Macaca mulatta: one gene and its partner. The protein of the gene in region 1 interacts with the protein of each later gene in a pairwise test. Links are inferred from orthologs where the notes say so. Each region holds a gene or a part of one and is shown on either strand. Other genes may lie near its edges.

Region 1 (3,955 bases):
AGAGGTTGCAGTGAGAAGATACCTGACCACTGTGGAATTAAACTAATTGAAACGATGAACAGAAAACCCGTACTTACTGGAAAGAAGACACACACTTGTAACCAAAGTGCCAACCTGGCTAGTTAAGGATCATTATCACCTCAACCGAAGTATTACAGGAACACAGCGAACGTCTCATTAACTGGAAGGTTTTCTGCTCACCCAGGGCCTCAGCTTTCAGAGCAGGAGCTCGTCATCTCCCCAGCTCTGGGGCCTGCCTCAGGCAGTGCATATGAAGTGCTTAGCACACAGTCTAGCAAACCCTGACCGGCAGAGCCACAGCACAGCGGACCCACCTGGCGCCCGACCGGAACTCCTTCATGATGGACTCCCGCTCTTTCTGGGGCATGTCTCCGTGCATTGAGGACACAGTGAAGTTGGCTTCTCTCATTTTTTCTGTCAGCCAGTCCACCTACAAATCCAATCAGCAGATGCTACTGCAAGTTCGTACACCAAACCAGAGATGTGCATTCGGGATTTTACCCCCATCATTTGCAGAACCAGTATCAATATTCTCAAAGTAACTGCTCTTAAAACTCAGGATCATCCTAACTGGATGCACAAACTTTTTCCCAGAAAATGTTGGGGTGCACTCACAAAACCCTCTTACTTCATTTTCTCCACATAATGACTCTATGGGGGAGGGGGCCAGGTGTGCTCATTCTCATTTGAAATTTGAATTCCAGTCTTGTCAGAATGTAGCCCAATTCCTTTCCTTTCTCAGGAAAGTGGCCGACAGTCCTCAGGTCTGCCTCCACATTATCATCACCTGGGGATCTAAAACTACTCAAGCCTGGGTTCCACCTTCAACGAAATCTGAATCTTTCAGGGTGGCTGGCATCGCTGTTCTGTAAATAAAGTTTTAATGGTCACAGCCATATCTGACCATTTGCATATTGTCTACAGCTGCTTTTGCAAGAGACCACATACCCCGAAAGCTTAAAATATGGACAAACTGGCCCTTCACTGAAAAATCTTGATTTAAGTCATTCAGAGACTCAATCTGCAATTCCCCTTCAAGCACATGGAGGCCATGCAGTACCTCTTACCTTTCTTTTGGTGTTGCAGAAGATGACCGCCTGAGTGATGGTCAGTGTGTCGTAGAGGTCACACAGAGTGTCAAATTTCCACTCTTCCCTCTCCACTGCCACAAAAAATTGCTTGATGCCTTCCAGAGTCAATTCATCACTGAAGGACAAAGACAAATCCTGTTACATCCTCATTCTTCCAGCTAGGACTTGAGGGCGGGCCAAGCCAGGATGCAGGGAGACCCCGGTGGAGAAGGTCACACCGTGGTATCTGGTGCAGACCCAGCGCCCCAGCCCTATCCTCCATCCCGTCAGCACTTCCGTCACACAGGTCTCTATTCTGTATCCTACTGAACATTTCACAATGTGCACCACGTGGAATATGATTCTAAACAAAACACTGGTAAGTAAATACAGTCATCTAATTTTTAAATTTAGAATTATTGGTTCAAACCACAATGAGTATTATAAAAGATGGGTTTTTTTGTTTTGTTTTGTTTTGTTTGTTTGAGACAGGGTCTTGCTCTGTTGCCATGGCTGAAGTGCAGTGGCACGATCACAGCTCACTGCAGCCTCAGCCTCCTGGCCTCAAGCAATCCTCCCACCTCAGCCTCCTGAGTAGCTGGGACTACAGGCATGTGCCACCCTACCTGGCTAATCTTTTATTATTTGTAGAGATAGGGTCTCCCTATGTAGCCCAGCCTATTCAGTTTTTCAAAACAGGAATTTTAAAAGAATTTGCATGCTTTAAATTCCTTTACACTCAGGCAGGAGGATAGCCTGAGGCCCAGATTCTGACACCAGCTTCAGCAACACAGCAACACCCTGGCTATAAAAAGTTTTTGAAATTACGACATAAAATCCTTTATAAATGGGGCCCAGTGTTTTAGTAAACTCGACTAGAGGGGCTCCTACCGTTTCACCAAGATGCGGATTGGGTCGGTCATGAACTTGTTGGTCATCTCCAGAATCTCGTGTGGCAGCGTGGCACTGATGAGCACCACCTGTGTGGCTGGAGGCAGGTACCTGTACACGTCATAGATCTGCTCTTTGAAACCTGGGACAGGGCGCAAGACAGGTGAGGGATGCTTAGGGCGGCACGCCCAGCGTTCCCACTGGGTGAGAGGCAGAGTGGGGATAAGGTACGGTTGACAGGATCTCACTTTTACAGAACCAGGCCACATCCACGCGTTCTCTCCGTCCCTACTCCCCGCCCCCCCCCGAGTGTTATCTGGTTGAGGGAATCTGGTTTTCCTCTGGTGCTTCTTCAATCTGAAGTGCTCTAGGGATCAAGAAACCCACCCCGAGAGTCCTAGACGCCAAATAAAAAGCAATAGAGAGGCTGGCCTGAGTCACCCACAATCTCAGATGCCTGCGGCGCAGTCCCGACTCACTTCCACCTGCCACTGTCCTGTGAGATTGGCATCCACTGGGCCCAGACCTGCCACATTTTAAAGAGAACCCAGACATCTTGTTACAGAAAATCTCCCAGTGAAAAATGCTGCCCACTTATTCACATTATTTAACATGGCACAGGCGGAATCAACACGGGAGCCAGCACACATGCACCCTCCGCCAGGCCTGGGCAGAGCTGGGCAAAGGAGAAGGGAGCCAGGAGCAGGCAGGGGCCCAGCCTCCTCACCACAGGGCCAGTTAATGAACTGGAGGCTCTGACTCCATAAATCATATGCGGCCAGAGAATCTGCATTTCTACAAGTCCCCAGGTGACAAGGATGCTCCCGGCCTGTGCCCCTCACTGTGAGGACCTCTGCCCTAAGTGCCACAAGCACAAAGAGCCACCCACAACCCAGGGCTTCCTCAGCCACCACAGAAACTGAGTGTGGTCACCGAACCTTTAACCTCAACGAGGAGCAGGGGGTCCAATAAAGGGCCCCAGAAGGAGGAGGGGAGGGATGTGAGGTGCTCAGAGCACAGGCCCCCCAAAAAACTGCTGGAACCAGAGGCCCGAGACGTGGCTGAGAGGATGCCCACGGGTACCGCTGGTGAGTGCTGAGAACAAAGCACTTCCTCACCACCCACCTGATACCCTTATGAAGACCCTGGGGGGCCTGCCACAGACCCTCACAGTGAATTCGAGGTGACACATCACCATGCATTTCCCAATCACTATTCTAAGAGAAGAATTGCTATCACCTAGAGGTCCTCACTTCAAAACACCTATGAAAATCCAAGAAAGTGTACATCCGAATCCTACCAATTTATCTTTGTGTGCATGTGGGTGTGTGTTTTTTTTTTTTTTTGAGATAGAGTCTTGCTCTATTGCCCAGGCTGCAGTGCAGTGGGGCGATCTTGGCTCACTGCACCTCCACCTCCCGGGTTCCAGCAATTCTCCTGGCTCAGTCTTCCGGGTAGCTGGGATTATGGGCACACATTACTACCCACCACCACGTACACCTGGCTTATTTTTGTATTTTTAATAGAGACGGAATTTCGTCATGTTGCCCAGGCTGGTCTTGAACTCCTGACCTCAGGTGATCCTCCCACCTCGGCCTCCCAAAGTGCTGGGATTACAGGTGTGAGCCACTGTGCCCACCCTCCAATTTATCTTAAAGAATGAAATAGCCTACACAACCAAGAAATATATTATGGAACATCCCTCCAACAGAATACCTTATTGCCATTAAACAGGCCACAGAACACTTATCATGGACAGATGCATTTTTTAAAAAGCAGATTATCAAACCGAATACACGTGATTCCACATCTATTAACTACAGTTATGTACAGAAAGTCTGGAAACATATTGTTTTAGGAAAAACCCCCAAATTAGGTTTTTCCTCTGCTCTCACACCAACACAATCCTCAACACAGGAGATGACGTCTGTGAGTGACTGGGGAATGGGGCTTTTCCTGCCCACCAAGCAGGA
Region 2 (5,549 bases), on another chromosome or scaffold:
AATGTACATATTACAGAGAATTAGTAATACAAATAGTAGACACTATTACCTATAAAACTGGAAAAATCATTCACAGCTCTTATTCACCCTGATATTTTCTGCTATATTCCTATATTATCTAATTGTTTATCTCTATTTGGATACCTAACACCTATAGAACCAGATAACCTTCCATCTGTTTATGAAATGTAAACAATCCACATTTTTCCAAAAGAAGTGCTAAAGAATTACCACATTACTATGCACTTTTATATAATCTTACTAATTTCTATTTTAATAACATTTCATGCAAATGTTAAACACAAGATAGAGATTTTTTCCTCAACATTTATGTGTACAGATACCACTGACAACCTTAAAACACTTAAATATGGTATAATTCTCTCATGTTTGGAACCAATGGAGATCATCAGATCTTATTTTTTACCTTGTTAGTTGTTTTTGGTTTTCCAAAAACTCCAGAATCTTTTAGAAGTTTTTCTTGTTTGAATTCTTCTTGCTTTCGGAAGAGTTCGGCCTTAAGATCTACCAACTAGAATAAAAGCAGTAAGTAAACAAAAATATTAAATTTTTGCAGGTGACTGGATTGCTAAATTATTTTAATTTCCAAAGGAATATTTCAAGTTCTGCTAAATGGACAAATATGGCTAAAAAACTAAAGGTTTAAATAACTTAATGTTTAAATGTAGAATCCAGTACACAAATTAAGCTAAATCATGTTTCATTCTACCTCTGCTGCAAATGCATTTTTACTCTAACTTTCAACACCTGAGGCTTTCCTTAGTCAAGGAGAAAGTGATAAAGCAAAATAAAATTAATGAAGTCTGCATCTTTTAGTTTCAGATTAAACTTGCGTTATTAAGCACCTTCTCTGTGACTAGCACTGCACTCATTTAATCATCACTACTTATTATTTCTACAGGGAAATGCCGTTATTCCAAAACTATCTGAGCATCCAGTTTGTGCATGGTACTTAACACTGAAGAGCAGAACATAAACATGAATTAGACATACTCTCTACCTCAAAGAGCCTACAATGTAACAAGGAAAGTAATTTATAATACTAGCAAAATGTAACAAATGACTCTAGAATGGAAGAAAGTAGCACACAAGTTCAGATAAGGGAGCATTTCCTTCCGAGCAGAGTGATCAGAGAAAGCTTTGAGCAGAGCCTTTAAAGACACATTATTTCAACAGCTAGAAATCAAATAGACTGGGTGAATTGTAACAGCTCCACGTCTGACTTAATCCATTTCAAAAACCATAAGTTTGGCTGAATCTCACGGTTCAAGAAGAGGAAAGAAGGCCAAGGCATAGGGAGTGGGGCAGTTGGGTGAGTATTAGTGCCTTTCCCTCAGCTACAGTTGTCACCCCTGCCTACTCTGCAAAAGATAAAACAACAGTTCCCTTTTTAAGGGTCCAGGTACAGCTGCTTATATGGATGGGCATTTGTAAATCACATACTTAATCACTGACTTAACCATCAGATACTTAAAAAATCACTTTACTTGTTAAGGAAAATAAAAATGGCTGAGTTCAATTTCCATTTTGGAAGAAATTGATTTAAAAGGTAATCATTTAAAAATGCAAAGGGCAGTTTCACTGCAGACCCTAATACTGTAAATTCTTAAAAACAAATGAAAAACTTCTTTTTCTTCTCAGCTTACATAACCACACCAAATTTTCCAGCCACATATCTTCCTAGTCTACAATGGCCTTTGACTTTAAAAGATGCTCAAAAAATTGTAAATTCTCAAATAGCATTCTTATTACAATTATTGCTAATTTTAGCCTATCAGTATAGGTTGGCTTTAATATTTATAGCTTTTTGGTTCCTGATCTTCAAACAAACATAATAACTAGTACCAATTTTAACCAATACTAGTTACCAATAATAACTAGTACTCAAATATTGGGACACCTATGTTTTCCTTCATACTCCCTTTGTGTACTTAAGTAAATTCAAGATTAAATCAAAGGTTGGGCAATTTGCTCTGATGATGAAAAGGCAGCAGCTCTGGAGTCAGCTAGACTGAATGAGCAAGGGTCTATCACTAAGATTTCTTCTCCCGCCCCAGCCCCAGACGGAGTTTGGCTCTTGTTGCCCAGGCTGGAGTGCAATGGTGCAATCTCGGCTCACCGCAACCTCCGCCTCCAAGGTTCAAGCGATTCTCCTGCCTCAGCCTTCCGAGTAGCTGGCATTACAGGCATGCGCCACCACGCCCGGCTAATTGTTTTTATTTTTAGTAGAGACAGGGTTTCTCCATGTTGGTTAGGCTGGTCTCGAACTCCCGACCTCAGGTGATCCGCACGCCTCGGCCTCCCAAAGTACTGGGATTACAGGCGCGAGCACAGGCCTGAGCCACCACGCCCGGCTATCACTAAGATTTCTGTATGTAAGCTGGGGAAAGCTACTTCATCTTTCTGGGCCTCAATTTCATCATCTATAAAACGGAGATATTAATAGCACCTACCTCCTAAAGCCATTGGGAGGATTAGTGAGAGTGTATATAAAAGTGCTGGCACAAAATGTGTACTTAGAACACGTTTTCTTTCTAGGGTAGCTGATTTAATAAAACTGCTTACATCCTTTCAGACTTCACAGTTCCCTATGGCTGCATTAACAACTATTTAGTTCCAGGTGGGGAACGCTGGGCACTTTCGGCTCCTGTGGAATATGTCACACTCTAAAGTTCTGGGAGGACTTTGGGGGTCCCTGAATGGAGGAGAAACCAGGAAGAGGATATGTCTGCATAGCAAAAAGAAGCTACGGTTCCTCCCGACTGTAAGGGAGAAGGCTGGCGAGGTGCAGGTCCTTGCGGGCAGGGCAGAGGGAGGTAGGGAGATTCCTAACCCACGGGACACCAGGTTCAGGTCCGTGTCTGAGGGTTCTGGTTCGGGCGCGTGTCAGAGAAGAGAAGCCCAGTTCAGGATCCTGTAAGAAAACTGAACCGGATCCCCGTTGGAGAAGAAAATCCAGGTCGGGGATTCCTGTTTGAGGGGAGAGGTCAGATCTCTGGGTCCCCGACTGAAGAAACAAGCTAGGTCGACATTCTTGTCTGATGGAGATAGGGTGAACCCGGAGCCCATGGAGTTACCTCATACCCTCACTCACCGAGGAGGCCGTGACGTCCAAAGGTTTTTTCCTACGGTCCATGGTCGTGCCGCAGTGACCCGGCCCAAGAGCAACCCTTCGCACCCGAAGCAGGCCTCGTAAACCTACCTCCGTCGCAACCGGAAGTGTCTTCGATAACGACACTGAGTTTGCGTGAGTTTGCGACGCGAGTTTGTCAGCTCAACGCCATCTTGAGAAGGTCAAAGTGTGGTGCGTATTACGTTCGCCATCATTTTGGAAAGGTCAGAGAGTGCGGAGGTTGACGCTAACTGCTAAGGTCATCTTGAGGGCGGAAGGTAACAAGATTAGCGTGGGCGCCATCTTGAGAAGGGCCGAAAAAGCTTTTGATTGTGATGGACGCCATATTGGGTGGGGCGGATGTGGGGTTGGGGACAAAGATAACGCCGTCTTGGGTAAGGCTGACGCTTGAGTGAGTGAACTCGAGCGTCTCGGGAAAGGTGGATTGGGAGGACCGGAAGAATCTAACTACAATTCGACGACCTGCTGCCTGGCACTTTTCACACGTTAAATAGTTGGTTCTTAGAAGAGCGTACGAGATAAGGATTATTATATTAATCTTAGCAGAAATAACAAGCATAATAGCTAACATTAATATAGTGCTTATTATGTGCCACTTTACATTATTTCAGCTCTTAAGAAAGTGAACTCAGGCCGGGCGCGGTGGCTCAAGCCTGTAATCCCAGCACTTTGGGAGGCCGAGACGGGCGGATCACGAGGTCAGGAGATCGAGACCATCCTGGCTAACATGGTGAAACGCCGTCTCTACTAAAACATACAAAAAACTAGCCGGGCGAGGTGGCGGGCGCCTGTAGTCCCAGCTACGCGGGAGGCTGAGCCAGGAGAATGGCGTGAACCTGGGAGGCGGAGCTTGCAGTGAGCTGAGATCTGGCCACTGCACTCTAGCCTGGGTGACAAAGCAAGACTCCGTCTCAAAAAAAAAAAAAAAAAAAAAAAAAAAAGAAAGTGAACTCCTCGGCCGGGCGCGGTGGCTCACGCCTGTAACCCCAGAACTTTGGGAGGCCGAGGCGGGTGAATCAGGAGGTCAGGAGTTTGAGACCAGCCTGACCAACATGGTGAAACCCTGTCTCTACTGAAAAAAAAAAAAAAAAAAAAAATTAGCTGGGTGTGGTGGTGCCCACCTGTATTCCCAGCTACTCAGAAGGCTGAGGCAGAAGAATCGCTTGAACCCGTGAGTTGGAGGTTGCAGTGAGTCAAGATGATGCCATTGCACTCCAGCCTGGGCACAAAGCAAGACTGGGTCTCAAAAAAAAAAAAAAAAAAAGTGAACTCTAAAGCTGGCTTTCTGGGTTGGAATCGCTGCTTCACTGCTTACTGCCTGTGTAACCTTGGGCAAGTTACTTAACTTCCCTGTGCCTTAGTTTCCAAAGGGGATATAATTTCATTTACCTCATGGGTCTTAGTGAAGATTAGATGAGTTAAATGAGCTAGTCTTGATAAACATGTTAATGATTATGGTAGACAGACTAATCACCCTTACCCCCACTCCTAGATGTCTACCTTCGAATACCCAGAATCTGGATATATGGTGACCTTTATATAGCAAAAGGGAATTGGCAGAGATGATGAAATTAAAGCTATTGAGATGGGGAGCTAGCCTGGATTGTGCAGGTGGGTCCCCTATCATCGAATCATCCTTATAAGGGGTAGACAGGATGGCCAGAGTCAGAAAGAGATCAGAGATGCTTTGAAGAGGGAGAGTGGGACCCCATGCCTAGGTATGCAGGAGGCCCTAGAAAAAGCAGATAAATGGGCGCTCCTCCAGTCTGCAGAAGGAATGCAGCATTGCTGACACGGTGATTTTAGTCTTGAACACTCATCTCAAACTTCTGACTTCAGAATTCTACAAGAATTGTTTTAAGCCACCAAACTTGTGGCAATTTGTTACAGCAGCAAGGCGAAAGTGATCGTAATGATTGTAACAGCAGCATTTAGTACATGTGGGGCACGTGTATGACTCTTTACGTAGATTATATTATATAATCCTTGCAAGAGTTCTAGAAGCGGAACTATTGTCCCCCATATTAGAAGAAAAATGAGGCTCATCACATCCTCATCTCATCTGGCTGTATGAAGAAAATGGGAAAAGGGAAAAGGAGAGGGGAATTGAGGCAGTTGACTGTGTTCAGTCTTATTTATTTATTTTCATTTGTTTATTTATCCGAGTCCGCCAGTCTCTGAAATTAGAACAGTAAGCAATATGAGATAATCGGGCCTAATAATGTTGTGATTCTCTTTTCTTAGTGGAGTGTTCTGTCCCCACAAGAAAGATTATACCTTATAGACTTGGCTTGTTCAGATTTTGTATTTACCCATTTTATTGAAACACATACTAAATTCCGTGTATTTTTGTTACAAATCTTCTGAAAGAAAATGTGAAACATTAAAAGGTATT

The links. The genes of interacting proteins can lie anywhere in the genome.
Region 2: the proteins of EIF4A3 (region 1) and CCDC174 interact in binary tests that used the Homo sapiens proteins (3 or more experiments, as listed by UniProt). The two-hybrid records come from large-scale screens. The link is inferred for Macaca mulatta from reciprocal best matches to the Homo sapiens genes EIF4A3 and CCDC174.

What each region holds. Positions count from the first base shown.
Region 1 is NC_133421.1:89,823,594-89,827,548, forward strand, and holds part of EIF4A3 (eukaryotic initiation factor 4A-III), read right to left. Parts: intron 2,125-3,955; coding exon 1,983-2,124; intron 1,228-1,982; coding exon 1,089-1,227; intron 452-1,088; coding exon 336-451; intron 1-335. UniProt on the Homo sapiens protein: ATP-dependent RNA helicase. Involved in pre-mRNA splicing as component of the spliceosome. Core component of the splicing-dependent multiprotein exon junction complex (EJC) deposited at splice junctions on mRNAs.
Region 2 is NC_133407.1:153,457,039-153,462,587, reverse strand, and holds the start of CCDC174 (coiled-coil domain-containing protein 174), read right to left. Parts: upstream 3,243-5,549; 5' UTR 3,158-3,242; coding exon 3,116-3,157; intron 533-3,115; coding exon 428-532; intron 1-427. UniProt on the Homo sapiens protein: Probably involved in neuronal development.